2 linked regions of the Cricetulus griseus genome follow. The protein of the gene in region 2 interacts with the protein of the main gene of each other region in a pairwise test. Links are inferred from orthologs where the notes say so. Each region holds a gene or a part of one and is shown on either strand. Other genes may lie near its edges.

What was found.
Region 1: the proteins of Bnip2 (region 2) and Klc1 interact in binary tests that used the Homo sapiens proteins (3 or more experiments, as listed by UniProt). The two-hybrid records come from large-scale screens. The link is inferred for Cricetulus griseus from reciprocal best matches to the Homo sapiens genes BNIP2 and KLC1.

The regions. Positions count from the first base shown.
Region 1 is NC_048598.1:182,250,817-182,254,316, forward strand, and holds part of Klc1 (kinesin light chain 1), read right to left. Parts: intron 2,377-3,500; coding exon 2,268-2,376; intron 251-2,267; coding exon 89-250; intron 1-88. UniProt on the Homo sapiens protein: Kinesin is a microtubule-associated force-producing protein that may play a role in organelle transport. The light chain may function in coupling of cargo to the heavy chain or in the modulation of its ATPase activity.
Region 2 is NC_048597.1:181,531,375-181,534,874, reverse strand, and holds part of Bnip2 (BCL2/adenovirus E1B 19 kDa protein-interacting protein 2), read right to left. Parts: intron 2,767-3,500; coding exon 2,590-2,766; intron 774-2,589; coding exon 597-773; intron 1-596.

The DNA of each region.
Region 1 (3,500 bases), on a different chromosome or scaffold from region 2:
GAATCTAGCATGAGACAGAACAGCCAGCAAGTGCTGCTGGGGGCAGGCGGGCGGCAGCCCGAGCGCGTCAGCCGCGCGCTGTACTTACCCCGTTCCACTCTACGCTCATACTCACTTCCTCCCCGCCGTCAGGGCCACTCTCGTACTTGACCACGTCCGAGTGGAGACTCTCCCGGCTCCTCCGCTTCTCCATGTTCTCAGGGTCATTCAGCACTTCAGCCACTCTCTGTTTGTGAACAGTGTCAAGACCCTGTGAGCCAGGCAGGGGAGAGCGGTTTGACCTGTTAGCACTTACATCTCGGAAGACCTCTCAGACCTGGGACAAAGAGTCAGATTCCTTTACTTTTTGTTTGTTTGTTTTTGTTTCTCGAGACAGGGTTTCTCTGTGTAGCTTTGGAGCCCATCCTGGAACTCACTCTGGAGACCAGGCTGGCCTTGAACTCACAGAGATCTGCCCGCCTCTGCCTCCCGAGTGCTGGGATTAAAGGCGTGCGGCACCAACGCCGGCTCTACCTGCACTCTGAGCACTTTATTATCCTCTAATTATTTACTGTTGCCCGCCACAGAGCCATGCGGGAGAGGTCAGAGGGCATCACCGAGTCAGTAGGTTCTCTCCTTCCACCTTCATGTAAGTTTATGGGGCACAGAACTCAGGCTGTCAAGCCTGCACAGCAAGCACCTTCACCCAGTGAGCCCTCATTATCTCAGTGGCCCCAAAGATACCAATCCTTAAATTGCCAGAACAAACTCAGATCAGTGGTTCCTGGGGATGGGCTTTGGGCTTTCTATGGTCACAGTGAGAGGTGTGAGTTACGGGTCCCCAAAGCTCCTGAGCTTTGACACAGGACTGCACACTGTCCCCCACGTAGGCAAGTTGGTGTAATGAACCCCGGTACTTTCAGCACTTGGAGGGCAGAGAGGAGGATGAAGAGTTCAAGGCCAGCCTGGTTATGTTAGGCCTACATTTAAAACAAAACAAGTGCTGTAAGCAAATAGTGAGCTCCAGGTAACGATAGCCACACTAGAGCATCTGGACTAGAAACACAGCTAAGTGCTTGCCCAGAATGCACACTGGGCACTTGGGAGGGGTGGGCAGGAAGACCAGAGGCTCAAGGCTGACCAGTCTGTCTCAAATAATAACAAGTAACCCTGGCACCTTCCCATCTTTCCCTGTGATGTGTGACAGGATGCTTCTATGACAGGACCTGTCCTATCCCTGGTTGCTCTTCCAGAGGACCCGGGTTCAATTCCCAGCACCCACATGGCAACTCATAACTGTCTGTAACTCCAGTCCCGGGGATCTGACACCTTCACACCAATGCACATAAAATACAGTTAAAGGAAAAAACACTATGAGAGGGTGATGAGAGCATCCAATCAAAACACAGGACACAAGCGCATGAAAAGGCCACATTGATACCCAGGCTTTCCTTCTGGTTTGTCTTGGAGACAGGGTCTCTCTACGTAGCCCTGGCTGTGCTGGGATTCACTATGTAGGACAAGGCTGGACTCAGACTCACTGCCAGGTGCTGGGATTACAGGTATATGACACACCATGCCCAGCAAATCCATGTTCTTTTGTTTTTTTTGTCTTTTCTTTTGGGGTCTGTTTTTTTGTTTTGTTTTGTCTTTGAGACAGGGTCTCTCTATGTAGCCCTCACTGGCCTGGAATTCACTATTTATACCAGGCTGTCCATAAACTCACAGAGATCCTCCTGCTTCTGCCACTGAAATCCTAGGATTGAAGGCTTGCACTACCACGCCCAGAACCAGATGTTTTTACATTTAATTTTTTTTGTTTGTTTGTTTAAGATTTATTTATTATGTACAGTGTTCTGCCTGCATGTATGTCTTCACGCCAGAAGAGGGCACCAGATCTCACTACAGATGGTTGTGAGCCACCATGTGGTTGCTGGGAATTGAACTCAGGACCTTTGGAAGAGGAGGTAATGCTCTTAACCCCTGAGCCATCTCTCCAGCTCTATAGTTCATTTTTTTTTTATTTGTGTGTGTATATGTATGACCAATCAGGGTTACAACGCAAAACCTTGCCTCCCAAATAAATAAAAAAAAAAAAAAAAATAGGTAGGTAGGTAGATAGATAAGATAGACAGACAGACAGATCTTTTTTCCTGCAGTCAAGTCCATAGTCCTATGCATGTGACAAGTGTCCTCACAGAGCCTGAGCCAAAATCAAGCCTTCAATTACAACCACATAAAAGGTCATCATGTTCCAACACACGAGTCTGCAGAAGTGTCAAGCACACCTGTTTACGTGACCTCATGGCAGCTTCTTCCAATGTCTCTGCAGCTTCAAATTTCCCCTGCCGTCGGTAAAGTGCTCCAAGGTTTTTCAAAGTGGTTGTGACAGTAGGACTGTAAGGAATACACAAACACAGAACCATTATGTGCAATGCCCAGGACAGCTACTACCAACAGCATGTCTGAGCTGTGTGTTTTAGTGACAATGTGGTACCTCTCCAGGAATGCTTTGGTGCAGGACACTAAGGACAGTGATTTAACATTCTAAAATATGTTCTCTACTCCAGCAGCCTGGTGCTCAGTGCTGTTAGCCCCTACGGCTCTCTACAGAACCCCAGAGCATTCTCCCAGAGCCTGACCGTGCACAGTCTGCTGGCATGGCCACAGAAGTATGTGGCTAGTCTACCCAGTGGTCAGCACATTCCCCTGCAGGCAAAACTTGGTCTGTGCTGGGCATATCTCAGAGTCTCACCCCAACCTCCTGACCTGACAGCTATGGCAGACAGTTTGTAAAGGAAGCAGGGGCTGGGACACAGGACATGAGTGCGGCCTCATTAGACAGAGAAGTTTTGCTAAAAGATGGAAATAAGGGACCACGGACATGTTCAGTGGGTCAAGGGCTGCACAAGCATGAGGACCCGATTTTGGGTCCCCAGTGCTTACACCTTCACCCAGTGAGCCCTTGGACAGAGCCAAGCATGGAGATATGCCTGTACCCAGTGCTTACACAGAGCCAAGCATGGAGATATGCAGCACACACACACACACACACACACACACACACAGGGGCATACACACACACACACACACACACACAGGGGTACACACACACACACACAGGGGCACACACACACACATGGGCACACCCACAGGGGGGCACACACACACACATAGGGCACACACACACACACAGGGGCACACACAGGGGCACACACACACACAGGGGCACACAGACACACACACACAGGGGCGCACACACACACACAGGGGCAGGCACACACACACACACACACACACACACACACACACACACACACACACACACAGGGGCACACACACACATAGGGGCTAACAGCACTGAGCATCACAAGTAGCCTGACATGATGGTATGTATGCCTGTGTGATCCTGGCACTCAGGAAGCTGAGACAGGAAGATGAAGAGCTTAAGGCCAGTATAGATTACACAGCAAGACACCATCTCAAGATAAATAAAATCAGAAATAATACAAAGCTGTATT
Region 2 (3,500 bases):
TTGAACTTTTATCATTTTACTTCAAGTCTTTCATATTCCTGGGGCTGGAGAGCTGGCTCAGCAGTTAAGAACACTGGCTGCTCTTCTAGAGGACTCAGGGTTGATTCCCAGCATTCACATGGCAGCTCAAAACCATTTCTAACTCCAGTTCCAGGGGATCTGATGCTCTCCTTTTCTGGCCTCTATGAAGACATGAGACACACAAATGGTGGTCTTCAGGCACACATATACGTAAATTATCCATCCACTTAAAAAAAGTTAAAACATGGCAGGACAGTGGTGGCACATGCCTTTAATCCCAGCACTTGGGAGACAGAGGTAGGTGGATCTTTGTGAGTTCCAGGACAGCCAAGGCTACATAGAAAAACCCTGTTTCAAACAAACAAACAAACAAAACCAATAAAAAAACCAACCCCAAAACAAAACAAAAAAACCCAACCCCCCCCCCAAATAAAACAAAGAACAAAAATCCTTTTACATTCTCAAAATGACTTGAGAAATTTTCACTATTCTTTCAATCTCCAGCAACATTTTCTGACAGCCTTTAGATTTTGGACACTGCATCTAAAGATTCTGAGCATCCTTCTAACCCTTACCTCCATGGCTAATAACTTTTTTGTAGGGTTCGATTGCCTTCATATCCACCCTGTGGTCCTGTTCTCCAATCCTGAACATGCGCCAGCGGCGTCCATCCTCCTTTTCTTCTGTGGCTGTGTATTCAGTAACTGAGTCTTTCCTAATGACTTCAGTAGTTTTGGGTTTGGGAAGATCATCTGTTAAAATAAAAGTCTTTTGAATCACAAACTGTTATTTACAAAATAAAAATCAAAAGTGTATGTTAACCACTTTACTATCTAGATTATTCCAAGTTTTTCTGTTTTCTTATGGGTGTTCTGCTATGCTCCCCAACCCAGCCTCACACTCATGGGCTCAGGTGATTCTGCCTCAGTCTCCCAGTATCTGGGAGAACAGGTGAACACCACCACATCCAACTATTTACAAAGAATTTTCAGTACACCAGCTGAAATTATCATCCACATAACAAGAAAAGGTTTGTTCTTACTTAAGTCCAATTTATGTCTCTAAAATCAGTTTACCAGAACTTTCTATTGTCCAATTCAACAAAGCACCAAGTTATAGTGCATCATTTACAACAGGCTTAGGGAAGATAGAGCCATCGAGGTCTTACTATGTACGCTGGCCTCATATGCCTTCTCAGATCCCATTCAGGACAACAGTGTCCATTAGAGTTACTAACACCTTACTTCAAGTAACCATCAGAGAGCCAATTGTTTTATAGCACCTACATTAATTATAAAACACTGTAATAAAAGATAGAAAGTGGTTAACTCCTCAGTGATCATTTTCCGTTTGATCAGTTTTATAAAGCAGATATGTACTTTTCTGAAGAACACATGCAAAAATTTACATAAATTAACACTAGCCAAAGCACCAATGATTACATACAATTTGTATTTGCAGATTGCAGTTTAGTTGATTGAAAATGAAGTAATGATTTTCAAAACTTTAGTATGATAGTCCTTACCAAAAGATGGGGGAGGGGAAACCTACTGCATGTTAGTTGTTTCCAAGACAAAGCTGTTAACGGAAAATATCCTTCCAGGCAATGACTACAGCAGCATTAAGGAGAGAAGAGACAAAACACACAGGCAGAAAACTATTTCAGTGTCTGGATAAAAGACTGCTTCTTACTGGGCTGCTTACTGAACCAGTAAAACACAGAAGAAAAAAAAAGCTTCAGAGTATCACTCATTACCTATAAAGTGTCTACTGCTTTAAGTACAGTTTTGATGCAAAATTCACTTTAAAGATGAAACAAAAGGTTATTAACATTTGTCTAGCTATTATAATCAACTACTGCTTAATTCTAGAAAGCACACAAAACAAAACACACAGCAATGCCTCTGAACACAAAGTAATTAGAATGATAACATCTGATGGGGGCTGAGCACATACTACTTCAAGGAAGCAGTTTATAAGTGCAGCAGTCCTCAGCAACTCTCCTGCCAATCCTTATGTATGTATTACTATTACAATTATTATTGACAGGATCTATGCAGTCCTGGCTGTCCCTGAACTCGCTATGTAAACCAGGCTGGCCTGGAACTCAGAGACCCTTCTGCCTCTGGAGTGCTGGGATTAAAGGGATGCACCACCACGCCCAGCCCCTTAGGTGTTTTTTAGTACAGTCCTTATATGTCTCTTTAGAGGACTTTTTTCCTGACAAGAATATAATGGAATATTAGGCAATACTTTTGAAGCAACTATGAAAAAACAAACTTTACAATATTGGGCAAGTAAGGAAAAACAATACTAAACTAAATGAAAGCTACCTGCATAAGCTATAGTCTTGAAAACTTCAAGTATTTTCAGAATCTTCTACTTTTAGTAACAAACTTAGGAACTGTAGAAAAAATAACATATTTCAAACAAAAACCTTCAATGGATTTTAGCAGGTTTCACATTTAAGATTTGGCCATATACTACTTTTCCTAAAGAGAACACTATGGTAAACATTGTGTAATATAAACATCCATTCACAAAGCTCATATAAAAGTAGTGAATTACCTTCCCACTCAAATTCATCACTGTTCTCTGATGGGGTGTCCAAGCCTTCCAGGTCAACCTCTCCACCTTCATCCAAATCATCCGACCACACAGAGTCTTCACTAGGATCCAGGGTCAGGCTGATGTCTGGAGCCATTAGTTTCTTACGCACTTTATTTCCATTAACTTCTAATGAGCCTGAAATTGGAAAACAAGGAAGAAGCCTGGATTGCTCAGATGCCCCCAGTTGAAAGAGAAACATTTTAGTCACTTCATTCTTGAGAAAGCATTTTCAAGAAAATCCCAAGGCATTAATTCGTAAAACTTGGTTATGACCACTGCTGCTGCTTTTTAAAAAAGATATATTTTCATTTTATGCGTATGGTTGTTTTGCCTGCATGTATGTCTGTGTACCACATATGTGTAGTGCCTGAGGAAGCCAGAAGAGTTCATCAGATCCCCCAAAACTGCAGTTATGGATGGCTGTGAGCTGCAATGTAGGTGTTGGGAATTGAACCCAGGTTCTATGCAGGAGCAGAAAGTGTTCTTAACTGCTAGGACATCTCTCTAGACCCATATTTTTATTTCTAAACATGTACATGTGCGTGTATGCGTGTATGTGCACACAAGTGCAGTGCTGGCAGAGTCCAGGAGAGGGCACTATACCCAAGGAACTAGTTATAAGCATTGTGAGATGTCTGAGGTGGACTTTGAGAATTGCACTCCCTCTTCTTAAAAAGAATTATTTACTATTGCTTCTTTGGCAAGAAATCAAGAATCTATCAATGTCCTTTTTTAAACAACAGAGGCAGATTTCATAGTCAGTTATTAATATGGTCTCTTTCACTCTTTATAAAATTTTCCAAAACTAAAGGTGTATTTTTTTATGAAGTTGAATTTCTTAAGGATTTTCCAAAAATCTGCCCTTTGGC